Linked DNA regions of Lonchura striata. Each later gene encodes a partner of the first gene's protein in a complex. Links are inferred from orthologs where the notes say so. Each region holds a gene or a part of one and is shown on either strand. Other genes may lie near its edges. The genes, in order: MYBL1, E2F4, LIN52 and RBL2.

Evidence for each region.
Region 2: MYBL1 (region 1) and E2F4 share a complex: the UniProt entries of both Homo sapiens proteins name them as parts of the DREAM complex. The link is inferred for Lonchura striata from reciprocal best matches to the Homo sapiens genes MYBL1 and E2F4.
Region 3: MYBL1 (region 1) and LIN52 share a complex: the UniProt entries of both Homo sapiens proteins name them as parts of the DREAM complex. The link is inferred for Lonchura striata from reciprocal best matches to the Homo sapiens genes MYBL1 and LIN52.
Region 4: MYBL1 (region 1) and RBL2 share a complex: the UniProt entries of both Homo sapiens proteins name them as parts of the DREAM complex. The link is inferred for Lonchura striata from reciprocal best matches to the Homo sapiens genes MYBL1 and RBL2.

Annotation. Positions count from the first base shown.
Region 1 is NC_134603.1:35,032,981-35,040,549, reverse strand, and holds the start of MYBL1 (myb-related protein A), read right to left. Parts: upstream 3,143-7,569; 5' UTR 3,128-3,142; coding exon 3,108-3,127; intron 1-3,107. UniProt on the Homo sapiens protein: Transcription factor that specifically recognizes the sequence 5'-YAAC[GT]G-3'.
Region 2 is NC_134615.1:16,854,848-16,862,176, reverse strand, and holds the start of E2F4 (transcription factor E2F4), read left to right. Parts: upstream 1-4,211; coding exon 4,212-4,394; intron 4,395-6,211; coding exon 6,212-6,321; intron 6,322-6,787; coding exon 6,788-6,951; intron 6,952-7,329. Other genes in the region: EXOC3L1 (exocyst complex component 3-like protein), read right to left, coding at 1-542, 827-1,046, 1,990-2,150, 3,119-3,161. UniProt on the Homo sapiens protein: Transcription activator that binds DNA cooperatively with DP proteins through the E2 recognition site, 5'-TTTC[CG]CGC-3' found in the promoter region of a number of genes whose products are involved in cell cycle regulation or in DNA replication.
Region 3 is NC_134608.1:23,653,852-23,660,859, reverse strand, and holds the start of LIN52 (protein lin-52 homolog), read left to right. Parts: upstream 1-3,889; 5' UTR 3,890-3,964; coding exon 3,965-3,983; intron 3,984-4,063; coding exon 4,064-4,138; intron 4,139-4,349; coding exon 4,350-4,387; intron 4,388-4,858; coding exon 4,859-4,925; intron 4,926-5,938; coding exon 5,939-6,022; intron 6,023-7,008. Other genes in the region: ALDH6A1 (methylmalonate-semialdehyde/malonate-semialdehyde dehydrogenase [acylating], mitochondrial), read right to left, coding at 1,238-1,312, 3,368-3,430, 3,608-3,667.
Region 4 is NC_134615.1:12,862,097-12,869,432, forward strand, and holds the start of RBL2 (retinoblastoma-like protein 2), read left to right. Parts: upstream 1-4,305; coding exon 4,306-4,500; intron 4,501-6,144; coding exon 6,145-6,275; intron 6,276-7,336. UniProt on the Homo sapiens protein: Key regulator of entry into cell division. Directly involved in heterochromatin formation by maintaining overall chromatin structure and, in particular, that of constitutive heterochromatin by stabilizing histone methylation.

The DNA.
Region 1 (7,569 bases):
AGACACAAATCTTTGAAGCCAGATACGTTCCAGAATAAATAACTTCGGCATCAGGGCTGAGCCTCAAAGCACAGAGCCAGAGGGCCAGGGCAGCCGGGTACCGCTGCGGCTCCGCGTAGATCACGCTCCATCTACTGGGGAAACGCGGAACTCCACTGCCTGCAGAAACAAAGCCTTCCAGTCGGCACAGGGAATTTTTCATGGAATCGTCCCTGAAACTTCTGTCAGCGACTCATGCTAGCATAAATTCAAACACATGTGGAAACCTAACCCTAACAACAAGAGCTGCAGTGCCCCTCCATTAATTACACCAAAGGCACAAAGAATAGACTCCCAATCCAAACATATCACTTAAATTAAAAGCAGTTTAACAGTGCAATTTTTTTCTCTGTTTTATTATTGGTACAAAGCACAATAAAAATATCATAAATTCAGGTTCAAAACAAAAATTATTTCTGCTCACCCTTGACAACTATACTTTTTCAGTTGAAAGTATAAAAAAAACTTTCCCCAGTAATGAAATTAACCTGTGCTGGCATCCCAAGAACAATTCCATGGACGATCTCTCCATTATTTCCTAGAACATGCAATCAGCACCCTGATTAACCACTTACACATTATTTACCATTAAGTCTGCTCCTGTTAGCCACCAAGGACATACTTTATTCAAAAGCATTACCACAGGATAGTAAGTGCCCAAGTCCTGCAGACTTGCTTCTACATCCTACACCACACCTGCATTTGCCCAACTTTAGCTTCATGATGCATCAGTAAAACATAAGCAAATTAAAACTTTGCCGACTTACTTAAGACAGCAAACTTGTGGGAAGGTCAACAGCAAGTTCTTCATCATACTTTCAAAAAAAAAAACTGCAAACGTTTTAAGAGGTTTGCATTAGGTGGCTTAAGACTTAGAAAAACAGATCTTAAACGTAGAAGCAGCAGTTTTTTCTGCCTCCCTACCAACGCCTCTTTTTTCTTTTGTCCACAGATATTTGACAAACTTCAGGGATCTATCTTAGGATTGCAATACTAAAATATAGTTCTCATAATACCATTTCATACCAGGCAGGCCATACAGTTCACTTATAACTAAAATCAGGCCTTCTTGTAAAGCCCTCTGTCAGCACGACCTCCTCACCCACTGCACAGCAAACTAGTCCTGAGCAGTCTCCAGCTAGGAGAAAAGTCAGGGGGATTCAAAGGAAGAGAAGGGCCCCACGTACAAAGTGGTGACGCTGCTGAGAGCGGTGCCAGACCAGGTGAGGCCCCACAGGTAGCCACGGTGCAGAGCCCTGCACTGGGAGTTCTCCGGGTGCACTCATGTCCCACTGGTGCCTCCGTCAGCCAAGCAGGCATTAACCTCTCCTGCACCTCAATGAACCTGAACAACCACTTAGTCCTGAGTCTTGTTTAGACTAGTGCTATGATAGACTATAAATCAAATCCTGATTAATGAGTGGGACTACTACTTCAGTTTTCAATTAAAAAGGCAAGATTTTTAAACACATGGGGTTGTTATAGTTCATTTGACAATTCTTTTGCAGTTATGAAACTGCTAAAATACTGCACTGAAGTGGAAGGCATCCACCAAGCTTCATCCAATCATCTGGGACAATGAGGTACATATTTTGTGAGATCTTTGCTAGCTGTCCATGCAATTCTGAGTTGAGGACCATTAAAAGAAAAAAATCAAACTTGTAAATGCAACAAAAGAGCAGTTTAAATTAATGTAAGGTTAAACTTAATACCATTTGGTGCAAAACAATTACAGTTTCTCCTTACTCCACACCTAGACTAAAAGTCTTGAAGTCACTTTCATGAAAACTCATAGCTTCAGTGATATAGTTTTGGAGATACCATCATCAGACACCAACACAACATCCGCCTCGGGCTACCAATCTCTAACCAAACCTTCCTCTGCTATCCACAACCCACTGTACTTTCAATCATGAAATCAAAGCACTCCACAGCCATGGGAGATAATACAATCTAAAGCTTGACAAAAATGAAACTACTGTGTGTAATACCACAGGTGAAAAAAGTCCCTTAAACTACAGAATGCTGATTAGGAGTGCCAAGAAACATGCTGCCTCTGAGCTATCTTGGAGACAGCCAAGCACAGACAGCTTCAGTAGTCTGTGAACACCAAAGCATTGCTTTCTTGTTTTAGTTGTCATTTTGCAGAAAAGTATTCTCTTATATTTTTTTTCACGTCAGAGGAAAATGCAGAAGCAATTCTAATACGTATAACTTTGAAACCACCCTTAATTCCATAAAAAGTATGCATTCACAACAAACCCCAGATGCCATAGATAACACACCAAGTATCCTTTCCTTTCTCAATCCTAATCCTTCTCTTACATTTCTTTATAACTTTCCACAAACTGATTTAAGACAAGAATAACCATAGAGACAAAACAGTTCTCCAAGACCCACCTTCTGCATACAAAGCAAAGACACGCCCATTTTCATATCAATATAACAAAAGATGTATGAAAGCTATCTAGGGCAGCTGCTGGAGCTCTTGTGCAAAACTTTATCTCTCAGGAACATTTCAGGCTAGATTGTGACTGTATCAGCTGAGAAAAAGTAAGTGCATTGAACATATTGAAAGAATCAACAGGCCCAAACCTTACATCAAGGCTGTGCCAAAGAGAATTGTGAAGTGAAAGGGAAGAAGTGTTACTCCACCAAAAGAAAAATAACCAGCACGGAAAGCTACTGCGGAGACAGCGTAGTTGTTACTGACAAGCTCAGTTGCTCAGGTGAGTTACAAAAAAAAACAACCTGAGCGAAAGCACAGAAGCGAGAGCAGCTGCCAGGGGAAAGGCGGGATTTGCACCCGAGAGAAGAGATACCTGCGAGGGGGCCGGAGGGCGGAGGGAGCTGGGCAGTGACAGCCGAGAGCGGGGCGGTGGAAGGAGGCCGGGAGCAGCGGTGAGGGGCGGGGCGGCACCTGGCCGGGATCCCGGGGCGCGGGGGGAGCCCCTGGCCGGGATCCCGGGGCGGGGGGAGCACCTGGGTTCGGCACGGCGGCGTGGACGGCAGCACTGCCCGGGAGGGGATGGGGGCAGAAAGCGCAGAGCGCTCGGTCCCGCACTCACCTGCGCCGTCTCTCCGCCATCCTCGGCGCGCACCATAGGGGGGCCGCCGCGGCCGCGGGGCGCAGCACGGAGCCCCCGAGGCGCCCGGGCTCCCTCTCTCACAGCAGGGCAGGGACGTAGCGGGGCACCGGCGGCTCAGAATGCCTCCAGCCGGGCAGGGATCCTCCCAGGGCCCGCTGCTCCCCGCGGTGCCCGCAGCGCCCCGGCGGCCGCCTTCAGCCCCGGCCCGGCCCCGGCGCGTCAGGCATGGCTCGGCCCGGCCGCTGCCCGCAAGGTCGGGGCGCGCAGCGGCCCCGTTCTCGCCCCTACTGCGCCTCGCTCTCCGATGCTGTCAGAGCTGCCGCGGGCTCCGGCGGCGCCCGCCGCGCTCCTTCCCTCCGCGCCCGGGCCGCTCTGCTCCGCCGCCCTGCCCTGTGCCCTCCCGGCCCCCGCCGCGCACCGGCCGCCGCCGCTCGGGCTCAGCCGCCGGCGCTCGCGGCGCGCTCGGCTGGTGCCGCCCGAATCTCGCGCGCAGCCTCCCCCCCGCGAGCCGCCGTTTGAATCTGCGCAGGCGGACTGACGCCCCATTGGCCGCCGCCGACCGCACGCGGCTCCGCGCGCCGGGCGGGAGGGGCGGGGCCTCGCGCCGGCGGGCGGGCGGCGTGACGGGGCCGGGGCGGGGGGAGCGGGGCGGCCCCGCAACGCCCCGCCGCGAGCGCCCGCGAGCCGCCCCGCGCCGGCGGCAACGGCGGCGGCTCCCGACGGCAAAAGAGTGAGAAAGTAACGGCGGGGCCGCCCCCGCGCGGCAAAACCGAGCGCCTCCTTCGAGCCGGAATCGAACCAGCGACCTAAGGATTCCCGCGGGCCGCGCCTCTACAGTCCTCCGCTCTACCAGCTGAGCTATCGAAGGGAGCTGGCCGGCCCTCCCGCTCCTCGGTATAAATCCTGTTTTCCGGGTGCCGCGGGTGACGCGTGTTGTAGCTGGAATTCCCTCCCCGAGAGCAGCTGGAGCATGGAGACGCTCTCCGGACGGACACACGGAACTGCGAGCGGCCCTGCCGCCCAGCGGCGCCTCCCGCACCCTGGCCCCGCCGCCGGCGGGTCGGTCAGCGCAGCGGGCGCGGCGCTCTCCGCTTCTCACGCTCCCGCGCCGGGGCGAGCTGTCCCGGCGGACGAGGGCAGCGCTTCCCGCTTCCCTCCCTTGCCGAAAAACCGATGTTTTATCCTTGCTCGCGTGCTGGAGGAGCGGGAAGCGGGGGTCTCATCCATCAGCCAGCCAGCGCTCTTACGGAGCTCCTGCTCCAGCCACGGCACGGGTCTGTTGGGAAGAGGCCATCCCCAAATAGAATCAGGTTTGAAAAGACCTCTCAAGATCATCGAGTGCAACGCATGACAACACCACCGTCAACTAACTGTGGCACTGAGTGCCAAATCCAGTCCTTCCTTGAAAACCTCCACGGGCTACGTCTCAGGGCAGCCCATTTCAACGTTTAGTCACCCTTTCCGTGAAGAAATTCCTAATGTCTAACCTAAACTTCCCCTGGCACAGCCTAAGACTAAGCGCTGTCATCCTGTCACTAGTTGCCTGGAGGAAGCTGAACCCCACCTGGCTACAGCTTCCTTTCTGGTAGAAACACATCGCATCCTCGGTGGCTGTGCAATGACCTCCTGAAGCTATCACCATCGTGAAGTAAAAGCTATATTCCAGCAGAACCTCTGTGTGTTCCAGGTATTTTCCTACACGAGACTTTAGCTGGAACTATAGAACAATTAGGATTGGAAGGGACCTTAAAGATCATCTAGTTCCAGCCTCCATGCAATGGGCAGGGACACCTTCCACTGGACCAGGTTGCTCAAAGCTCCATCTAACTTGGCCTGGAATGCTTTCAGGGATGGGGCATCCACAACTTCTCCAGTGCCTTACCACCCTCAGTAATTGGTGGTCATTTTTTTTACCTAATATCTAATCTAAACCTATTATCTTTTAGTTTGAATCCATTCTCCTTTGTCCTGTCACTACATGAGCTGTTCCAGTTATGCTTTAAATTGTATTTAAAGAGAGGTGCTCCACTCCCTTAAACATCTTTGCAGCCCTCCGCTGGACCTGCTGCAGAAACTCCTTGTCTCTCTCGTCCTGAAGAGCCCAGAACTGCACACAGCACTCCAGATGTGTAGAGGGACAGCATCACCTCCCTCCACCTCCTGGCAGAGCTCTTCCTAATGCTCCCCAGGGTACCACTGGCCTTCTTGGGCACCACGGCACACGGCTGGCTCATGGGCAGCCTGCTGTCCTCCCGGATGGAATACACAGAAGTTATCTGAATAAACTAAGCCGTGTGTGGAGTCTATGCATCCCCACAGCCCCGTGGATGTTCCCGGTGCGTCCCCGCAGCGTCTGGGCTGTTCCCGGTGCGTCCCCGCAGCCCCGTGGATGTTCCCGGTGCGTCCCCGCAGCCCCGTGGATGTTCCCGGTGCGTCCCCGCAGCCCCGTGGATGTTCCCGGTGCGTCCCCGCAGCCCCGGGGATGTTCCCGGTGCGTCCCCGCAGCCCCGTGGATGTTCCCGGTGCCAGTCGCTGGAACGCCGGGCTCGCAGCGCCCCCTGCGCGGGCACGCGGGAACTACAGGTGGCGGCACAACCCCCACGGCACGGGAGGGCAAAAACCCACCAAAACACCGCCAAAAACCCACCAAAACACCACCAAAAACCCACCAAAACACCACCAAAAACCCACCAAAACACCACCAAAAACCCACCAAAACACCACCAAAAACCCACCTTCACCCGCTCCGCAAACCCATGATACAAGGGAGAACTAGTATCGTTGCATCTTTTACAAAGAAAAGTAAATCCTTGAGGATTTTATTTGTAGTCTTTGCTAATAGGTATTCAGCACCAACCTACATTCCCTGTGATGCACTTTTAGTATCCAGAGATGACAACGCAGCAGGTTTCCCCACATCAAAGCTCTGACAGGAGTCTTTGAACTACAAAAGCTGTAATGAAAAAGTAATAAAAACCATCCTGAGACAGGATTTGTGTCATCAGCCTTATACAGTATGAAATGGCATCTTTTAGTATTCATTTATATTTAATTCACAGTGAAAGGAGCCTGAAATAAAAATATTATTGTCTAAATAGGTGCCTTTTTGTATATTCCCATAGTAACACATGTGTTCCTAATTTGCAGGAAACAGATCCTGAAAGCATTAGCTGAAGCAAATTGCTAAAATAATAAGTACTGATGGTCCTGTTGTTAAAAGATTCCTTAGCCTAAAGATGTAGTTTGTTATGACATCCAGTAAACATTCTCCTTGGAGTACACCAGTAAGCATATACACGCCTCACTTCTTTTTTTTTATTTTATCCTGTTACTGTCCTGTGTAACAAGGTCTAATGTTTGGAATTTCTTTTGCTCCTACATGCTAAAAAAAAAGTATGGAGATGCATTCCCCTCTCTCTGTCTCTTCTTCTAGCTTCTAGCACTTCACAAAACCAAGCCAAAGGCTTACTACTCTCTTCATAGAGCCTATAAGAAAGAAGGCACAAACAGACCATGTCTCTGTAGCAGGATATGGACTATCCCCTCCCATCTCATCTGAGCTGTCATGGCTCACAAGCCCCCAGACCCAGGACACTCACCAGCTAGCAATATCTGAGTCCCATTGTGCAAGAACTTCTTTCTGCCTTGGTTTGCCCTTCCCGAGACTCCCTTGTGACAAAGGAGAGCCCAGTTCCGCCTAGAACCAAAGAACATGATCAGGTGCAAAGACATTGCTGCAAGTTCAGGGTGTCTGGAAGAGGCAAATCATAGGTCATAGACCTTGAGTCACAGTGACATACTTCCAGTGGCATTTTTTGACACTTTAGCATTACCTTAGAACTGTTATTTGGGTCTCCTGACAAATCAAAACCAAACAACACTTGAATCAGCTGTTGGCATTTGGATCTTGCTTGGGTTTTGTAGGGTTGCCCAAGTACTAATGGCAGTGGACAACATATTTCCAAAGACAGGGGACTCTTGCTCTTACCCAGATGACTCAGAGGACAAAGTGCTCTGGAAGACACAGTGATGGTCCTACCATTTGTTCCATTATTTATTCCTTCTTGTTTAGTTTCCTGCTAATCTGCAGGGATAAAACTTCTATTAGGCATTCATTATGGCCTTAACTAACACCAGATTGTTCCTGTTAGGAAACAGATTCCTTCCCATAAAACACTGATGCTTCAAAAAATGTCACCAAGCTGCAGTGGTATGAAGGTACCACACTATAAGGCCATATATTAAGTCTATATGTATACTGTTTTTTACTGCTCCAGTTTGGTAAGAGTTCTATGATAAAACCTTTAGTGAATAAAAAATACCAGTCATGATCCCACTGCCTACTGTCACAAGGAAATGATAGAAAAACTTGGAAGTCACATGCAGAAGTTTGTAATTCTTTGCTCCTATGCTTTGGAAGCTCATTGTGAATTCAGGCAGC
Region 2 (7,329 bases), on another chromosome or scaffold:
GCTGAGGATGTTGTAGTGGGCTGGGACACACTGGACCATCAGGTCCTTCACCACACGCAGCTCAGACACGATGTCCTTTTGCAGCGCTGCCAGGTGCTTGGCCAGCCCTGGCCCCTCAGCATCCATGCGGGGAGCATGGAAACGGGCTCCTGTGATGGTGTCCTGGAGGACCTGGTAGAACTTCTGCCTCCAGCCCTTTGGGCGGCCAGGGGGAAGGAAGGTGGCCTCCAAGAGCAGAGTATCATCTATTTTCTCCTCCCGCTCGATGATCCTCACAGCAGTGACAAAGAGAACGGGGTCCTCGCGCACCAGCTGCAGGCTGCTGCCCACAATGTCCCACAGCTGCTTGGCCAGGCTCTCGTTGAGGTCCTGCAGGCCACTGAAGTAGGACAGCACAGTTGCCTGGGCATCGGAGAGCCCGCGGAGGTGCAGCTGGGAGAGGATGTCATCCCGGAGTTGCTCTACCATCATGAGTTCCACGTGGGCCTCCAAGAGATGCTGCCCATGGAGCAGCTGCAGGATATGGGAAAAAACCTCGTGGACTGTGGGAGAGGGAGGAGAGATGCCAGCACTGAGTGTGGAGATGAAGGGGTTTGCACCAGGGACATAGATGCAGGTTATCAAGGAGATGGTGAGGGGAAAGGTCTGGGGCTCTGGGAACACCATTGGATCAGGCCCTGGGGAAGCAGGGATATCTCCATTCACCCAGCTGGCAAAGCCTGAATGACCTGCTTTACCACCAGCCCTGCACAGAGCCTGTGGTTGCACTGAGGTTTCCCCCAGTGCTTTTCAGCCCAAATTGACCAGGATTGGGCCAGTGCCTTACCCGAGAAGATCTGGGGCAGCACCTGGACCACCGAGGCCAGCTGCACATGTTCCTCCATCAGCTTCCTCATCTGCTGGAGGCCCTGGAAGTTGTCTGCGCTGTCAAGCAGGGCCCACCGTGCAGCCCCCAGGTCCTGGCACACGCCCTGCACCTCCTGGGCCGCCGACCGCAGCTGCTCCAGCCCTGCACTTACCCCCTCCAGGTAGGACTGGACAGTTGACTGGGGAGCAGAAAAGGATGGAGGGCAGTGGAGCAGCTCCAGAAGGCAGGAGGACTCCACACCACTTGTCCCAGCCCTGTACAATATGTGTTGCAGGCACTCTCCCAGCCCCACAAGGCCCATGGTAAACAGCAAGCAGATGCCTCTCTCAGTTTTAAAAGATTACTTTGCTTCTGCAAAAGAGCAGTGGGTCATAGGGTCCCTATGTGCCCCCAAGGTATGAAGGACCTCAGTGGCCATATAAACCCTCCTCCCAAATGGAGTGCCATCGTTTCCAGCCCTGCACTGGCACATCTCCGTGCCCTATCCACTCATTTAACTCCCTGCTCCTGATGCCAAGAATCACCAGGAAAAGTTGCTTTCACGGAGGCCTCCCAGACAATTCATCCAGAGTCAGGATAGGAGAAACCATTTCTAAAATTATTAGGAGAAAGTTGTGGTGCTCAGACTGATTCCTTGGGTCATGCAAAAGAGGATGTGGGTGAGGAGGCAAGTGTGCAGGGGGACTGGGACAACCCTTACAAATGTGGAGAGATGGAGTTTTCCCTGTGGAGATGCACAGGCAGGGACAGGTTGGAGCTCTGTGCTTCCTCCCAGCTGTGGGGCAGGGCAGCCTTTGGGGCTGGGACGGGGCAGTGATGGGGTGCACTGAGTCCTGCACATGGAATGTGCTGAGCCCCCTTGGTGTTTTATTTTGCCGCATTGTCAGAGACACAGAAGACTCCTTTTAAAACTTCAGACACTGCCTGGGGGTAAGGCAGAGGGTGAAGGGGGTCTTCTCTCCCCAACAATTACACTTCACCCACCAAACGCCAGCCAAAGGAAAAGATTTTGTCAAAAGAGGACATACAGAGAATTGATGGCGCAAGAGGGGACCTGGCTGGGGTCCCTGCCTGAAGAGGGGGTGTGGCTGCAAGTGTCCGCGGGATGGGCAAACACACACCTTCAGCCGGGACTGGATGGAGTTGTTCCTCTGCGTCTCTCGCCTCCGGTAATGCCCGAGCCCCTCCAGTTTCTCGGGGCGGTAAAACACCCCTGAAGCCCATTTCAGAGCAGCTCCTCTCGCCAGCTTCTCAGCCTTCTCCGCTTCCGGCCACTCCTCGTCTGGGGACGAAGCCAGGGGTCAGTGAGCACAACCAAGTGGGGCAGGAAGGGCCCCTGAGGCCAGAGGCAGGAAGCTCGCCGCTAGTGGACTTCCAAGCACACACCGACGTGGGAAGCTGGGCAGCGTGTCCCCAAGAGGGTCCTTCCACAAGGGCCCCCTAAGATGCCACCACCACGGCCCGGGGTTGTCATAGCAGCTGTGGCAGCAAGAAATAAAGCTGTCCTGGGGTGCTGTGACTCAGCCTGCCAGCTCAGATTGTCCCCAGGCTGAGTGTACATCCCGGCTACTCCCCAAAACAAAATGCTGGGTTGTCTGAGGGGGTTTGATGCCACTTGGGCAGCTGTCAGCAGGGTTGAGACTCCAGCAGTGAGTCAGCAGGAGGGATGGGGACACAGCAGTTCTCGCAGGAAGGAGAGCCAGGCTAAAGTGAGGATTGGAGACTCCTGGTCTCCCCAAAGCACCCATGCAGCTGTGTCCCCCTTGACACAGGGTCCAAAGCCATGCCAAAGAGCTCCTGGCCACAGTGGAGGTCTGAGAACCAGCACAGTTATCACACACCATTCCCAGTCCCCTCATGCCTGGTTTCATCATTCCCCCACGCCACCCCATCCCCAGCCACTCCCTGCAGCTCCGCGGGGCTATCACCCCGTGCCAAGCCAGGCTCCTGCTCTGCTGGGGAGCCGCTGGCAGCCTTGGGACCAGGGGATTAGGGAGGAGGACAGCAGCTTTGAGGATAAGATGAGCGGTGAGCAGAACTGCCCCCGCGCAGGTATCGCCATCAGGAAGCACAGCCAGGCTGCCACCCCGCAAGGACAACAAAGCACCAGCCACGGCACAGGGAAAAGATCCAGGAGGGTGGAGGGGGTGGTGAGGCAAAGAGCAGGGGAATCCCCAAAACGTGCTGCAAAGCAGCAGCATCCCTTCCCTGCCCAGCTCGCCGGCTCCCGGGGAGCATCATGCGCGTTACCTCTGGGGCTGGCGGCGCGCTCGTCCTCCGCAGACATGCCCATGGTGTCCAGGCTGCGCGGAGCTGCGGGGCCAGGGCAGGGCTGCGGAGGAAGCCGGCTGCCGTTTCCTCAGCCGGAGCAGCCGCGCTCCTCAGGGCCTCATTGTGTTCCCGCAGCCGCGCTCAGGACGTCAGGAACGGGGGGCGGAGGGGAGGGGGGACACGGGAAGGCACGGCGACAGCCGGAGGTCTGGGGAATACAAGTCACGGAATCAAAGGATCGTTTAGATCGGAAAAGCCCTCTAAAATCATCGAGTACCAACCGGTAACTGCCAAGCCCACCACTAAACCATATCCTAAGTGATACATCCACACGGCTTTTTAACGTGTCCGGGGATGGTGACTTCACCACTGCCCCAGGCAACATTTTACAGTGCCTGACCATCCTTTAATGAAGAAATTTCCCCTAATATCCAATCTAGCCCTCTCCTGACTCAACTTGAGGCCATTTCCTCTCGTCCTGTCCACCCACACCGGCACCCCCTGTTCTCCGGACACTCAGCCCTGTCCGTGCCCGCAGCACTGTTCTCTCGCACCCACCCTGGCTCGGGGAGGCCAGCGGGGTCCCAGACCCCAGCCCATCCACAGTGCGAGCCCACTCGAGGGTGGATCACCATGAAGGGTGTGCTGTGCCAGCCTGACCCGGAGGCGAGAACGCGGGGATGCACCCTCCATGGCTGCAGATGGACCTGCAGATGTGTCCCTGCCACAGGCTGCCTTCCCCGGGCACAGGCTGGAGGATTCCCCCGGCGCTGGGTGTGCTGGAGCAGCAAACCGGCCCTGACACCCGGGCGGTGAGAGCCGAGTACACGGCTGAGGTTTGGCTTCGCTACCACAGGGTGGGGCTTGACTTTGGCACCGCAGAACGGCGAGGGGATGGACGCACCCCTGGCTTTGCCCGGGGGACCCCCAAACCGACGGGGCTGACGGAACACCGGCAGCAGAGCGGAACGGCTCCGGAGCCCCGGGAGGCGGCGGCGGGGAGTCCCCGGTCCCCGCCCCGCCGCCGTCCCCGCCCCGGAGGTTCCCGGGGAGCCCCGCGGCCCGGAAGCGGATGCGCGGCCCCGGAGCCGGCGGCGGCGGCGGGCAGATGGCGGAGTGCGGGGCGCAGCCCGCCGGCGGTGGCAGCGGGGCTGCGGGCGCGCCCAGCCGGCACGAGAAGAGCCTGGGGCTGCTGACCACCAAGTTCGTGTCGCTGCTGCAGGAGGCCAAGGACGGCGTGCTCGACCTCAAGCTGGTGCGGGGGCAGCCGGGGGGGTGGAGGGCTCCGCCGCCCCGGGGGAGGGCTCGGAGGGAGCGGCCGCCGGGAGAGCGATGCTCCGGCGGGACCGGTCATCCGGCGGCTGGAGCAGGTCTGCAGGGGGAGAACGGGGGCATGGCAGCGCCCGGTGCAGCAGGTGGTTTAGTTTGGATTCCAGGAAAAATTTCTTCACGGCAAGAGTGCTGAGGCACTGGTGGAATGGGCTGCCCAGGGCAGCGGTGGAGGCACTGTCCCCGCTCAAAAGGTTTGTGGGTGCGGTGCTTAGGAACATGGTTCAGTGGTGGGGTTTAGGGGCTGGGATCGATGAGCCGTGAGGGCTTTTCCAGCCGTACTGATGCTGTTTCTAGGCGAGCGGAAAGCGGGGTTCTGGGGCTGCGGCAGGGCTGCCGGCCGTACACAGAGGGCTCTGCATTGGCCGACCTTACACCCCCGCCTGCTCCTCCTTCCCAGCCCTTGTCCCCACCCCGTCGGGTTGTCCCGGCGACTCTTCTTTCGCCAGGACTTGACCATGCATTGGAGGTGTATGTGTGCTTCAGTTGCAGAAACGTTTGACCACCTTCTTCTCTTATGCGTTCTTGCCCCGTACTTGATCACTGGCACCAAAGCCTCAGACATCTACAGAAACACATACCTATAGAAACTGTCCATACAGCACTTAACCCTCCTGGCACACACCAGGATGGGGAGGGTGGTCAGAGTCACCTGCCAGAGGTTGTCCCCATGCCTTTAGGCAGTGGAGAAGTGTTGTGTGAAATCATCTTGCTTCTGCATTTTAAGATCTTCACCTAGAGGAAGTAACACTGTCAATGTATAGTATTTAATCTCTGGCCTTTCCTGTAGGGGAAGTTCCTTTGCTGTGGTTTATATAAGCATCTCTTATGTGGGCACGTGTGTGAGACAGACAAGTGCCAGAAAGCCCCAGTAATGGACTGGAGGAGTTTCCTGGCTCCATGCCTGTGCCAAATTGTTTTCTCATTTGATTTGACAATATTTTTCTTCTTCAAATGTCCATTAAGGGAATTCGTGTTAGTCAGTGTGATTTATGTAGTTGTATGGTGTAGGATCTCCGAGGTCCTGGCCTGTCACTGGTAGGTGACAGAGACATAGTTCCTGTGCTGACCTGCTGTGTCTGCACTGCCACTGACATTGTTGGTCCTTCTGTGCACACATTAACTCTTGCTGGTGCCAGGTTGCCGTGTGGTAGTGGAAACAGTGCCATTCCTTGAGTCCTGAAACCTGAGGGAAAAGGGTTATTTGAGCAAGGCAGGGAAGCCCCAGGCATGCTCATGGTTACTCTCCACCTGGAGTCATGTCATTCAAACAGAGGAATCTCTTGAAAAGATATTGATTCTTTATCAAGTAGTGTCAGATCAGCTTTAGAAAAGACCTTGTGAATGTTGATTTCACTGAAGTGTTGCACAGACAGCTCTCAGCATTCCCCTTCCCATCTCCATCTCTACCCCGAGGGAGCACTAAATTTTTAGGCTGCTGAACTACTATATTCTAGCACTGCTTTGCTACTGGAGAATGGTGATTTTTGTATCCACTGTGAGTAGGAGTGCTGGAATTTGATTTGGGTTTAGTGGGGAGGCTATGGGGTAAGAAAAAAAGAAGAATGAGTGACTTCTTCTCATGGTCATGTGAGATCAAGAAGATGGCTGTGTAACGTGAAACGCTGGAATGGGAGAGGTATGAAACAGGGAGCAAAGTATTTGGCCAGGAGTTAATCTGCCAGGCAGGAAGGAGCTAAACATGACTGAGAGTTTGGAATTAAGTATCTTAACCTTTTTCAGGCTGCAGATACCTTGGCTGTGCGACAGAAGCGACGGATCTACGATATCACGAATGTCCTGGAAGGCATCGGGTTGATTGAGAAGAAGTCCAAGAACAGTATCCAGTGGAAGTGAGTGGTAGAGATGGTCTAAATCATTCACAGGTCCCTTCTAATGCAGATTTAAGTGACAGTGGGATTAAAATGCTGTGTGCAGAGGGAGGTTCCTGAGTGGTCCATGCTCTTGCCTCCCCCAGCTGTGCTGTGCTGATGGCACAGTGAGGAAAGCTGAAGTTCGTATGGTGTCTCTCTTACAGCAAAGGTGTTATTTTGGTACAAACTAAATATTTGCACTGCCTTGGTCTAGGAAAGATACCTGTCATGGCACTGGAGGTGGGGGAGACTGTGGGAAGTAGAAAGGTGTACCAAACATTGCTATGGTGGGAAGTGGGGGTCTAGAGTGGGTACAGACACAGCTTTCCAGGCAATCTGGCATTGGTGTTTGACACGGGTGGGAATAAGAGGCTGGCAGAGAGATTGATGTTGGTCTGGGTGCCTCCAGAGGCCGATATATCTCACCCATTTTTGTTTTACCCAGGGGGGTGGGTCCTGGCTGCAACACACGTGAAATAGCTCACAAACTGATTGAGCTGAAGGCAGACATTGAGGACTTGGAGCAGCGGGAGCAGGAGCTGGAGCAGCAGAAGATGTGGGTTCAGCAGAGCATCAAAAATGTTACAGAAGACATGCAGAACAGTCGATATCCTTTGTGTGAACTGATGGCTCTGTCTCCGTGTTCACTTGCTGGGCTGGGAAGCAGAGACATGACAGCTTGGTGGGTGCTGGCCTGTTGCTGCTGGAGAAGCTGCACTGAAAGGATCAAAAGGCAGCACCTTGGTTTGAAATTAGGGTAACTGTCCAGCCTGGAGACCTGCTTTTCTCTGCATCCAGCTTCTCCTCTGGCTTTTGGAAGTAAAAACATAGTAATGTTTACCACAGTGAGAAAAGTGGTTTTTTCTGAGTCACAGGTGCCACTTTATTTAGTGCAGAGCTGCTCTTGTGGCTTAACTATCTCAGGATGTCAGATCTGATGGGCACAGAGCTTGCAGACCTCACCTGCAGACCACTTCAGAGTGTGGC
Region 3 (7,008 bases), on another chromosome or scaffold:
CACCTAATATTCTTGTTCTACAAGTTGTACTTCTGAGGGCACAGCACAAAGGAAATGCCTTCCTTGATTGCACACAAAAGGCCTGGGCTACAACTGGAGTAGTTCTGAAAACCTGCATTCCAAATATATCAAGCTAAGCACTCAGAAAACTACAAATGCAGTGCTGATTTCCAAGCTGGAGTTGAAGTGACTTGGCTATCTTGAAACTTCTAGACAGTATAAGGAAAAATTTTCCATGGACTATGGTCTTTTCCTCTCCATCGTCTTGGTTCATCTGGCTGTCCCTCTTGCACATTAAATGAGGCAATATTCCTTTGTGAAAAGCAGTACATGACTGCACATTTGCCATTGATATTAGCTTACCTATACCCCTAGGCCAAAGTACTATTTATATACAACCTTAATTCTATTGTATTTTAACTTCAAGCTTGGTGCCAGTTTAACCTCCTTCTAATGTTATCTTAAGAATTAAATCTGCTTTGACATGACAAAAATTTCAGATATATCAGTAAGACAGAAATTACTCAAAACAAGAGGAAGAAAATTAAACAAGAGCACTGCTTGCTACATAGACCAAATGAGCTTCATGAACATTACTTGCTGCTCTGATCATTTGCACAAAGCAAATGAAAATAGAGCTGTACAGAAAAGATTTAGAAACTGCTGTTTTAAAGGCTTACTAGGAAGGCCAGAGGATCAGAATTCTGAGTGCAACCTCATTTCCATTTGTCTTTGGTGGAGTACATAGACAACACAAGTGCTACTTATCTATTTTGCACTGCATAGCATCTAGCTCTGTGATTATTGTGCGTCAACAGATAGAAACTCTCTGAAAGGAGAGGAGCTTCAGCTGTTAGCATTTTTCACCTTTTTACTCTGAGAGTAATATCAGCCTCTATCAGGATTTCACATTCAGCTGGGATCAAATCACACCCAGTTGATTTCATATACAGAGTGAAAGACACCCTTCAGAAATCTGACATACAAAAAAATACATAACCAAAATTTAAGCTTCCTTTCTGGAGACCAGGGCCTTACTATGTGAGGGAGGTAAGGGTGATAGTAACTTATTCTGAAACTGATATTTCATGTGAAAAGGAAACTGAGAAGCTGTAGTCTGCTGAGTCTAAACCTTTCTCAAGAAATGTATGTTTTTCATCTGCCACATCCCTGAAGAGGCATAGACCTTTGTTTCACAGTGATCACTATTTACATAAGGTGAGAGCATTTCACTTACTGGGTTGTGGATATCAATCCATTCAGTAGTTTTGGACTCAATAAACTTCCCATCAATGAAGAGTTTGGTTGTTGGCTGTGGAGGTCAAAACACTGAAAAGTGAGTTATTTTTGTCTCAACATGCCTAAATGCCAATGTGCCATATTACATGCAAGCCTTTATCATTTACTGCTATGTGAACCACTAAAGTCTGTATCCAGTCTTCACAGCAAGACCCAGATAATTGCTCTCTGCCCCATTTTGCTCTCTTTACACCTAAATAGCCAAAATTCTTTCTAAAAGCAGTTATAGAAAAAAATACATTGCTCTGCTTATGTTTGGGATTGTTTCAATCTATTTAATCAAAACCTGAAAAACTGCAACTCATAAATGTTCAGAAGAAACAGTTAATAATTCACTTCATGGGAATTCTGTGAACCCAGTGCAGACTGTACCACTGTCCCATGTGCCTCCTTCCCATCAAGCCACTAAGCAGGTTCATCTTTCCAGTTTATAGCTTCAAGCAGAAAATTGGACTTTCCCCACCCCCTGCTTGGTCTTGCAACTAAGAGTAAGAAACCTGTATCTGTGGACTGTCCTGGCTGGCAGCACAGAAAACAAAACTTTCCCACTCAGATGAAGAGGAGGGACAAGGAAAGTTTGGAATAAGGAGTTCAGGCAAACATAGAACAGAACAGAAGGCAGAGGTAAAAGCTGTAATTAGCATTAGATAGGCAACAAAACTATACCATGCAGGAAAACAAATTGTGACTGTATAAATTAAGAAACTATAAAAGAGGAGTTGACATTGGGAGGTAAGGAGAGAATTAGAAGAAAGCAAGAACCAGTTAATCATGACACAAATCCATGACTTGGGGAGAACATGTAAGAGAAAGGGGAAATGGATCTTCTGTATGAATAACACAAATGGGACAGATCAACAGAACCAGGATATAAACCCAAATATATCATGAAAATGAAGAAATTATGATATGGAATTATGAAAGGGAGATGAGAACTTGGATGATATCCAAAGTGTAATGAAGAGACAGAGATCAGAGTAAGAATCAGGAACATAAATGGTACAGGGTGGACAAGTGATGACAGTGAAAAGTGGATGAAAGTGAAAAAAAATTAACAGCAATGTTAGTTGGACAAACTGAGAAAGCTTTGAGATGAGAAAGTTAGGATCAGAAGTATAAAATAAGTCTGTTAATGGACAAGCAAAACTTAATGATTTGGAAAGCAATGCTAGAAGAGAATTAAAATTAAAATGTTGCAGATGATTATGTAGCTGGACTCACACTTGGGGAAGAGAGGCAGAAATCTGTGCCTACAAAAACACAATCTCCTCTAGAACCTGGAAGAAAGCACAGGATATCCGAGTCCCTTGACCGAGTTTCCTGACTGTGAGAAAAGCTGCTGGTCTAAAGAATGACAAACTCCTATGGCTATCAATCACTCCATTAGCCTCAGTGCCACCGAGGCTAATGCAGTACAACCACAAGCGCCAATGCTTTATGACCCACATAGACTTCAGTGCAATGGAGTTAATGTCTTTTTCAAATTGATTAAAAAGGGTATCTCAAACATTGCACACGCAACAAAAAATACTTTAAGCAAGCCAGAAAATGGTGAATTAAAATTAATTGCACCTTTCCCATAACATCGCCACCTTTTTTTATGTAGAGAATGCACCTGCTGTGGGAACATGGACGGTAGTAAAGCAGACTACTTGTGGAATTCTGGTTTGGAGTTCAGAGAGTGTGCAGCCATGGACAGCAGAGGAAAAAAGGCAGTACAAGAACCAAAGTTGTTTGATACTGTCCGAAAGAAACCAGATCCTCTCTCTGTCGCAAATAGATGCATGAGGCCAGTCCAGAGCCACCAGGAGTACCGCGGGGTGAGGGCGGCCACCGCTCAGCTCCGCAGTCCGACAAATCGGACATGGAACTTTTTCCCGTCCCTCCCGTGGAGCGCGGGCGCAGAGCCGATGTTTGTTCCACCGGACCCGCCGGGGTCCAGCCGAGCCGGCGGGAACGGCCTCAGCGGAGCGGAGCCGAGGGCAGTGTCCGGCGGGCGGCGGCGCCCGGGGCTCTCCCGCGCCTCCCTCCCCGCCCACCGGCTCCGCTCCGCGGGACGGGCACTCACCACCGAGGAAGAGAAGGACGCGGCGACTGAGGTGGTCCAGGGGGCACCGGCTGTCCGCGGCAGCTGGACGGGGGCAAGCACAGACCACCTCAGGGCGGGTCAGGCAGCACCTCCCCCCGACCCCCCTCCGGCTGCTCCCGCCCGGAACCGACCCCCGCGGGGCCCCGGGGTCAGGTGAGCCTCGACCCCCCTGCGCCCCCCGAGCCGCCGGAGCCGCCCGGGGCCGGCCGGCCGCCTCACCCTGAGCGCCACGCGGCGCCGCCCGCCCCACGCTCCCCGCGCCGCCGCCGCCGCCGCCATCCCGGCCGAGGGTCCCCGCTCCGAGGCCCCCGGCCGCGCCCCCGCCCCGGCCCCGCCCCCGCGCGGCCAATCGCCGCCAGCAGCCGCTCTGGCCGCGCCCCCACGGCCCCCGCCCCCCGTGCCGGGCCGCGGATTGGCGGAGGGGGCCGAGCCGCCCTCCGAGCGTCACGGCCCGGCCCGGCCCGGCCCGGCCCCGCCCTGCGGCGGCCGCGAGCGCGGCGCGTGGGGCTGGGGGCGGGGCCTGCTTTCCGCTCCCGCGCGGCTCGGCCGCGGGCGCGGTCACGTGAGGCGCGCGCCATGGCGGCTCCGGCGGACGGTGAGGCGGGAGGGCCGGGCGGCACCGCCGCTCCCGCGCCGCTCCCCGCCCGCACTGCCCTCACCCCCTCTCTGTTGCAGGCGCCGACCTGGAGACCTCGCTGCTGAGCTTCGAGAAGCTGGACCGCGCCTCCCCGGACCTGTGGCCCGAGCAGCGTAAGTGCGGCGGGCCCGCGGCCCCGAGTCTGACAGCTCGGGGTGGGGTGGGGAGAGCCCGGCCGGGCCGAGCCGGGCCGGGCCTCCTTGGGGCAGCTGCACGGGCCGGGCCGGGCCGGGCCTCCTTGGGGCAGCTGCACGGGCCGGGGCGGGTGGCGGTGCCGCCCGCAGGAGCGCTCACCCCGTGCCAACCTCCGCTTTCTCTCCCCAGTGCCCGGGGTTGCCGAGTTCGCCGCCTCCTTCAAAAGCGTGAGTGAGCGCTGCTTTGCCTTTCCCTTTCGCGTTTCTTCCTTCCGTGTAATAGTAGATCGGCAGGTTCTCTTGCGCGCTTTACATCTTCTATGAACCGTATCTCAGCAATAAGTCCAATATATGCTACAATATAGCTTTTGGTTTTAATGTATCTTTTATATATGTGTTTCTTTTTATGCCTTCTGTAGTTCACTGTGTATGAGAATTATACTTTGAAAGCAGTAAAGGCTTTTAAACGTCAGAAAATCCTATTTTTCATACTGATTTTTTGGCTTGTGAATGGTGGCATGCCGTTTTTAACTCTAAAGTGTCCAGGAAAAAGCAAGATTAAACATAAAGGTATTTCTATGGCACACACTCTCGCATTTTTGCTGTTGTTGTAACTAGTTTTCAATACAGATCGTACTTCATTGTATAATTCTAAGAATGGACTTTTCTGAATATGAACTTCTATTTTTTTCAAAATAGCCCATTACAAGTTCTCCCCCCAAGTGGATGGCTGAATTAGAAAATGATGATATTGATATGTTGAAGGGTGAGTATGAATATTGTGGGCAAGAATTAAGGTTGCCAAAGCAGATGGGAATTCAGTAGTTACTAAGAGGCTTAAAACACTTGTTCTTTAAATGTTTTGGTGGTGGCCTTATGGCCTGAGATCTCTAGCCATCATATTTGCAGAATCTCCAACTCATAAGTCTCTTCATCTTGTTAATGATAGACATTTTCATTAAACCAGTTATTTCCAAGAGCCTATCCAGATATCAGTGGCAGGCTGATTTTTCAAGATAAGCAATGTAACATTGTGTATATTTCAGTCACCTCCCATAGCCTTTTTATCACCATATAAGTATAGTGAGCATCTCCTGCATTTTGAGAAGTAGCATTAATTTTTTGGAGGGGCTCAGCTGATCAGTTGGTGAGTAGCTTAGACTTGTTGATTGACTTGTTCAGAGATGCTCTACGTGTGTGTGTTCCCTCACAGATCCAGGAGCTCCAATGCAACGGTGAGGCTGTACAGGCAAGTTACAGCAGGATTAGCTAGCATGTACACTTTCTTCATGGTGCAGCTGTTAGTTTGCAGTCAATATCCTTCAGCGTGCTCTTCCTGTCATGAATTCTGAATGATGGTGTGTGATCGTGTCACAGTGACATGTCACAGCTACAGAGTGAAAGTGAGACAATTTAACTCTGACTCACTCCAAGAAATGTGCTTGAACTCACGTTATTAATGCAAAATAAGTCCATTCCCTTGCTACTTTTATATAGCTTGTTCATGTTGCAGTGTGAACTTAGAGGAACTTCTAAAGTATAGGTCAAATTACTCTTTGCAATGGTGGCAGATCAAATCACGAACTAGAGTCATGGCTGCCTTTCTCCGTACTTTAAAATTAGGAGTGGAGTCAGCTTGAATTTTGAATGTACGCTGTTCACTGAAACAGATCCTGACAGAATTAAGGCTTGAAAGTGCTCTGTGAAGTACTAAACAGGTGAACTGCTATTGGAGGACTATAGAGAGGGTTAAAATTCGTCTTTTTCTCTCTTTTTAAGAGCTGGGGAGCCTTACTACAGCTAATCTGATGGAAAAAGTTCGTGGCCTGCAGAACCTGGCTTATCAACTGGGACTGGATGAATGTAAGTGCTGTACACAGATATGACTGACTGCATTCCAAATCTTTCCACTAAAGCATGTGCCTGTACATTGGTAGCTGGAAAAGTGTGTTGACAGATTTGGCAAGTGTTTTACAGTGACCTCCTGCAACAGGATGAGAGAATGAACTTACATCTCCAACTTACAGCCTACCTGCATGGGGGAAGATGTGTGTCTGGTGTTACCCAGTGGCACAGAGACTTCTGTTCCTGAGTTAACATTGTGTTACATAAATCAGGTCACTTTGCTTAATTTCCCACTCAAATTCTAAAGGTATTTCTCAAAATAATTGTGGCAGTACTTCTCTCAAATTTCATGCACTGCCTCCACAGGGAAATTTGTGTATAGGATTCTCCTGTCACTTTGGTATTCATACTGCTTTCTGCTTCTGTAGCTGTTACTTTTTTTACACTCAGTTGTGGTGGGCAGTGATGTCATTGAGTAATAAAGATGACTTTCATCCCAGTTGCAAACAGCCAACTCTTTCTGTGTTTTTTTGAAAAAAGAGCTCCTTTCATTGTCTCATTTAGGACTCCTGTTAACAGGTTGATATAGCTTTGAGGATATCAAGAATATTGTGGAGTTGGTTTTAATACTACCCATACATACCAACACATTTTTTTTTCTGTTTAGACCCTGGTTGTAATTACTCTTGGGCTACATGAAGCACCAAAAGTTTCAAGTCTTTCACCTTGCTTTTAGTGGGTACTACAACTTAGTAATAAACCTTTAGAGTCTTTCTGACTGCAGACATAGGATAGCCTAATGCATTCTTAATAACAAATCATTAAGCTTGTTTTAACCTACTTTGAGTTTATTTTACTTTCAGTGCTAATATCTGTTAAGACTGTGTGAAGCATTTGGAGTAGAAGTTAAAGTATAACAGTGTAAAACTGAGTCAAATTCAAAGATTGGCTGATGGTTTGCTTTCTCAGTTAAGTTACAGGCTCTGATGTCAGACAGTGTCATT
Region 4 (7,336 bases), on another chromosome or scaffold:
AGGATGCATCTATGAAATAGCCAAAGTTTTACAAGCAGTTATTAACTTCATTTGCTGATGGAGTATGTCGACAACACCATCACTTCCCACCCTTCCCCCACAAAACAAGTCCTAAATCTTGTGGCTAAAACCTAATTTATATCAGATTTATGAAATAAAGTATTTTCCTATTATGGTCAAGTAAGTTTGGTTACTGTTCTAGTGATTCTTTCTATGTAATAAGGCAATTACAGTTTCAAGTAATGAAAGCTGGTGTAGACTTGAACATAATTATATTTGGGTTATTTTTCATCAGTTTGATCCAGAGGGGGGAAAAAAGTGTCCCACTATCAGCTAAACTATATGCAAATACGGTTGTATAAAGTTAAGGGTTATAAGGAAACCTCAGTAGAATTACACTAATACTGGAGTTAAAATTAAAAGGATATCCAAGGTGATGATAAAGTGTGTGTTGGTAGTTACTAAAAAAACCTTAGCTGTTATTGCCTTGTATTTCTATCCCTTGTTTCAGGCTTCATGATCCAAGTCTTAGTCCAGGTTTTTTTTGGACATTTGCAATATTTGCCAGTTGTGTTCTGTGTAGTCTGAATTTGCTTTCTGTAGTTGAACAAGCGTCTTAAAAAGTCATTTGTAATTTATTGAATTACTTTCTATGATGTTCTATAGAGCAAATGGAAGTTTAATTATTTTTTATTAAACATATTCTTTGACTACCCGTGATGTCAGCCTCCGTATGTGAAAGTAATGCTGTGAAAGGATTAAACATGGATCTTCCAGCAGCAAAACTCAAGTTTCAGTGCTAAGTTTTAAAACTGAAATTATTCTTAAGACCTTAAAAAAAACCCTGCAAACAAGCCAAGGACATAACACACCTACTGCCCAAGACCATGGTTTACTCTTGTATATTTTTCCTGGGAATCAATTGCCCCTAATTTTCTTATCTTACAATCAAACCAGCTGTTACTCCCACTCTTCAGTACTTATGGTTAGAAAAGAATGTTCAGTCTAGGTTCTGGTCCAAAAGTTACCTTAATTTTAAATAAGCATGTTGGCAGTGAAGTAAGTACCTTTTCAGTCTTTTTTTTTCAGAAAAAAACTTTGCATTACTTTCCACATTTTCATTAAAGCTTTTAATTATGTACACAGCACTTAACTATTGCATGTATTTCACACAGGGCACAGACATTGCTCCTGAACCCAAGGTGTCTCCTGCCACCTGGCATTGCATTAGAATGATTCAATCGTATCCTTATTTATTTCAGTCTGAATTTTATCTTCATATCCTGATCATCTTTTTCGAGCTTCTGCAGATGTGTACACAGGTGTTAGAAGTTGACATATACATGAGCTCCGTTCTCAACTTCTCTTTTTTCCATGGAAGTCATGCAAAATCTCCAATAGTATTTTTTAAAATTAGTTTTAGAATCCAGTCCTCTTGGTCTGTAAATTAAAATATAAAGATCTGTTTTTCAATGGAAATATGGAAATATGTTTTCAATTGAAGTATTCCCAAGATGCTCTAGGCACTATAGTAGTGGTTAGTTTCTGGCACTCCTTTGAAATTTTTCCAAGCAGTATGTGGGGTATGATTAGATAAGACTCTTAACAAGGTGTCCAGGGAAAAGTCCTGTCCTGTATGTTTTATTCTGTGTCCAACAAAATTATTTGTGCCATGTTATCTAGTAATAAATTTTTCATGGATTGCTCAGTGTGACCATTCATTAAAATGAAGGTTTGAGGAAGGTCTAATGCAAGTTGTAGCAAGATGAAATGTGCCTGGTGTTCAGGGTTAATATAAAGGGGGCTGCACAATAGTGTTACATTAACTTATTTGTGATTTGCAAGTTACTAACAGTTTTATAGGCAGTTTCTGATTTAGTTTTATTACACATAGAATTACCTTCCACATGAGCAAGGCTGTTTCAGTGCAATGTGGGATTTACACTGCTGTAGTTGACCAACATTTAAAATTTTATATCTCTGTGTTGTTGGGACCTTGGGCTGGTGGTGTTGTCTGTAGAGCAGACTAATTGTACTGTGTAGCCACAGTTTACAAAATAACTGTCCTGGCTTATCTGAATGTCCCTAATGTTACACAAACAGGCAGTATAATTTCTTTGTTAACATTTAGAGGAAAAGGAAATAAAGATAACAGCTTTCCAAGTTCTTTTTATGATGTTTTTTTATTGAATGCTGCCTCCTTTCAGGTTCTTTCATGCAAGGAAGGAAGGAAGGTGTAGTGCCCAAGATCCTTCATGAAGTTAAACTGGAAAATGAGGACTTGTTTGCTCTGCCTCCTGTGTGTTTCCAGTATGAAGGAGACCTGACAGTGCACTGGTGTTCCAGGTAAGGTCTCCTGAATTAAAGGAAGGCTGGTTTGGGAAATTCTTGGGATCCTAATAACAAATACAGTGTCATCATCTAGAGAGATGAGAGCATTTTCCTTAGTGTTCACCAAAACTGGTAACAGTCCTCACACTGTTTTCTGCTCTCAGACGACAAAAGCATTTGATTTGGGGACTACCATGTCAGGTCCTGTCCTTGACAGTGTTTGAGCTGCGTGCAGCAGCTCAAAGCAGGGAGCAAGACATGTTCATGGGGAAGATTTCTGAGTCTACAGCACAGTAAAAAATGTATGCTGCCAAGGGGTAGCCAAGCAGCTGTGACGGACTCGCGCTGAGAGGGTGTTTGTGGCTGTTACTTGTCATACTGGTAGGTCTAACATCTAGCAATAGTCAAAATCATTAAAATAATTAACATGCCATATGAGGGTAACTTTATTATTCATGCATCCTTTTAATGGGGGAGGAGCGGGAGGGAAAGAAGGGAGAAGTGGAGAAATAAGTGATGCTAAGTCCTCAGGGATAAAAAAGTATGTTTCTTGTCTGAGTTTTCAGTACACCATTAAATAAAAACTTCAAAAAAAAAAGTTTTCTACACAAGAGCAGTCAAACCATTTATTTATGAAGTCTGAATGCATGAAACCATAGGGAAGTACACAGGTGTAATCACTGCATAATAAACTTCACTTTGATCCTTTAACCTTTTAACTCTTTAGGTATTTCAATATTGTGAGGGTTTGTTCCTCCTTTTTTTATATGAAGGATTTTTAAAGAGTAGATGAATTATTTCTCAGTAGAAATTAAATGCTGTAATAAGTTATTGTTGCTTTGTATTTTAGTAGATACTGTAAATATAGCTAAACAGAAAAGCCTTACATAATTTATATAGTCTTATGGGTGGCAGAGAGCTTCCCATCAATGCTGTGCATAACTCAGAGCAGGAACTTGGCCTGATGGCAAAGTTCATAGCTCCTCTGTGTTAAAACAAAAAGTAAGATGAAATACAATCTAATCACTCCTTTTTAAAGTTGTAAGTTGTTCTGGTAGTCTAGGGGCTGCAGGTTTGGGGGGAACCCTGCTGGCATCACCATCTTCCAGTGCCAGCTTGGGCTTTCTGCAGTTCTCATTGCTGGGTACCAGTGTGTATTTGTGTCCTGAATCACATCTCAGGTCAGTCAAATATTCTTAACATTTCTTTTTTTTTTTTTTTTCCCTGAAGCTTTCAACGTTCGTGAAATACCAGTAATACAAAATCAAGCCAACAGTCAATAAATGTCTTTTAATCAAGTGCAGCCTGTTTTACTGGTCACTTCATTGACACGTACCTGCTTTAGGAGTTTAACCTTACTTTTGGCAGCCTCCTTTCTGCTCGGCTGGCACCTGACCAGGGGAGCTATTTCTGTCTTTCCTCCCCCTCACTGCCTGTGTACAGCCTGTACCTCGCTCTGTGTGAGCGTACAGCCTGTACCGTGTTCGTATTTGTGTGTGTATTGTGTACAGCCCGTACCCCGCACTCTGTGTACGTATTTGTGTATATATTTGTGTACAGCCCGTACCCCGCACTCTGTGTACATATTTGTGTGTCTGTCTGTGTGCAGCCCGTACCCCGCACTGTGTGCACATATTCGTGTATATTCGTGCGTGTGTTTGTGTCTATTCGTGTACAGCCGCAGCCGGCCCGGCCGCTCTCCGCCCGTTCCGGGCTCCCCTCACGGCCCCGGCCCCGCCCCGCCCGGGGCTCGCGCGCCGGGCGCGCTCCCGATCCGCGCCGCGCGCGCGTCTCGCGGTGCGTGCTAGGAGCGCGCGCCGTGCGCCTGCGCGCGGGCGGGGCGGGCTGTTGCCCCGCGGGCCAATGAGCGGGCGCGGCGCGCGGCGGGGGCGGGGCCCGTCCCCCGGTGTTTGGATTCGAACGCGCGGGGCGGCGGCGCAGGCGCGGAGCTGCCCCCCAGCGGCGGGGCGCGGCATGGCGGGCGAGGAGGCGGCCGGGGCCGAGCCGGGTCCCGCGGGGGCCGCGGCCGCCGCCCCGTCCCCGCCGGGCGAGGACGGCGAGACCCGGCAGCGCTACGAGGAGCTCTGCAGGAACCTCAACATGGACGAGCGCGCCCGCGCCGAGGCCTGGCTGAGCTACCAGAGCATGAGGCGCAACTACACCCTGGAGGTGAGGGAGGGGTGGCGGGGCCGGGGGGAGCGCGGCGGGACGCGCGGGGGAGGTGCGGAGGGGAGGGACGGCGGCGGGGGCGCGGCGGCCTCTCCCTCGCACCGCCCGGGCGGCCGGGAGTGACCATCGCCACTGGGAGTCATAGCGGCGGAAAGGTGTTAAAAATGGAAGAGCCCCCGCCACTGCGGTCCCTCGGCTCTCCGCAGCTCGGCCGGGCAGCGGCGCGGCGGCCTCGGCCGGCGCGGGGCCCGCGGGGATGCCAGCGCAGGTGCGATCACATTTGTCACTTATTTCTGGGGGCTTGCGCGGCCGCGGCACGGCCCGGGCCGGGCGGGTGGAGGGTGGAAGGTGAAGGGTTGGTCGCGTCGTTCTGGAAAACAGGAACACGCGGTGACGCGCCCGGGAGCTTTTATCGGTGCCTTCCCACAGCAAAGGTGGCGCCTGTGATAACCGCGCTGCCCCGCGCTGCCCCCGCGCTTCCCCCGCGCTTCCCCCGCGCTGCCCCGCGCTGCCCCCGCGCTTCCCCGCGCTGCCCCCGCGCTTCCCCGCGCTGCCCCGCGCTGGCCCGCGCTGCCCCCGCGCTGCCCCGCGCTTCCCCCGCGCTTCCCCCGCGCTGCCCCGCGCTGCCCCGCGCTGCCCCCGCGCTTCCCCGCGCTGTCCCGCGCTGTCCCGCGCTTTCCCCGCGCTTCCCCCGCGCTTCCCCCGCGCTTCCCCCGCGCTGCCCCGCGCTTCCCCCGCGCTTCCCCCGCGCTTCCCCCGCGCTTCCCCCGCGCTGCCCCCGCGCTGCCCCGCGCTGTCCCCGCGCTGCTCCGCGCTGCCCCGCGCTGCCCCGCGCTGCCCCCGCGCTGCCCCCGCGGCTCTCGGGCAGAGCTCCGCGCCGGGCTCGGGGCTGCGGGAGGAGGAGCGGCTCCGGCCGCGCCGCTGTCCCGTCGCGGGCGGGCGGCGGTGCTCGGGATCGAGCCTTGCCTCGCACACCCCCAGGTGGGCGCTCAGCCGGGCCCCTGGCACCGCGGAGCCCGACAGAACCAACAACCGCAGCATCGAATTCCGTTTGGCCCCTTCTTTCTTCCCGTTCCTTTTTCCACTGAGGTGTTACTCATTGCTCAAAGACGAAGAATAAAATTTCAAGTGCTCATTAGAAATAACTTCTTTCTTTGGGTACCGGATTGAATAATTGTTCTGCTGTTTAATACAGAGCGAAATGGAAGCAATGTTTTTCTTTTCCTGCTGTCTCTTCAGGGCAGAAGGATGTTTTGGTTGCAAGAACTATAGTAGTTTCTCTTTTTCTCTTTTTTTTTTTTTTTTCTTTTTCTTTTAAATCCAAGCAGTACAAAATGCTGTAGATGAACACTAAAAATATATTTTCATATACTGAAAATATATTGGATATTTTGAGTCAAATGTAAATGTTATAATGGCAACTAGTAGTTTTGATGCAGTTCAGTGTTCAGTGTCTATTTAGCACCTGTTTTGTTGCAGTTAAAAACCCAAAGCGCAACAGAAGTTTGAAACAGCAAATCTACTTTCTCACTGGTTGAACTTCATCTGTTTGGGACAGTGCTTTTCCCTGCTGCTGGGGTAGCTGAAAAAGCATGTTTTTGTTTTCAGTGCAGTTTTTTAGATGCCTGATGTTTTGATTCACAGGGAAATGACATGCATTGGCTGGCTTGTGCCTTGTATGTGGCTTGCAGGAAAGCAATTCCAACTGTGAGCAGGGGAACAGCGGAAGGAAATTATGTGTCCTTAACCAGAATCCTGCGCTGTTCAGACCAAAGGTAACTTTTATTCTTGCTGATTTTTAGACACTTAAAAAATCACAAAGAGTGCTTATCACCTTGTGAAATTGGAAATCGAGAATAAAAGCTAAATGTGTTTCTTGTTTCCTGTTTTTGAAGTCTGTGTAGAGTCTATATCCCCAGAATGTTTGTGTTATAGCCCACTGCCAAAGAAGTAGGGCAGTACTATGTTCATGAAAACGCTGGTTTTCAAAATGAGAGATTTACTTCCTTCACTCAAAGGAGCAAGAAGCCAGACACTGAAAAACCATGAATTTTGGGAGTGTGCAAATTGTGAACTTTTCACATGAGAAACCATTTGTAGTTCATTGTGAAAATGTTCACAAGCTTTATCTCTGTTTTTGCATAAGACTTCACTTTTCACATGGTTTTGGTAAAATCATTAAATGAGGTCAGAATCTGACAAACAATTTTGTGTCAGATGCTTATGTCTATAAAGTAATAAATAAAAGCTTCTGAAATAATTGACTTTATTAGAAATCTCGTTGTTTTCTAAAAATTCCATAGATTCTCACAAAAAAAAGAATGTTCTTACGTACTTCTTAGCCGGTTTCCTCTACTGTTGAAGCATTGCTGTTGATTAAACAATGCAAAAGCTTTCCTCTATAAGCTTTTATTTTCCAAATCAGAAATTCAGGGAACTGAATGTTGATAAATTGGTTCCGTGATCTGGACTATCAAGACTAATAACACTGATAAAGAAGATGAAGATAAAGAAGCTGTAAAGGAATTAAAGCCAAATTTGCAAAGTGCAATTTTCTAAAACTTAAGAGGTTTCTCATACTTTGTAGAATATTCTTAGCATTGTAGATCTCATAGGTTGATTTATTTAAATTAATAAATTATTCAGAAAAACAAGGCAAATCTGATTTCAAATTAATCTAACTGTTGGAATTGATTTTGGCTTTGTGAGAAGATGCCAGACCTGTGAGTACATAGTTAATGGGGTTATCAGCCAAGGATCTAAAAATATTTCACGAGCTGTCTGAGCTCATCCATGTTTATGGGTGAAGGACTGGCTCCGAGTTCATTGTCATGTT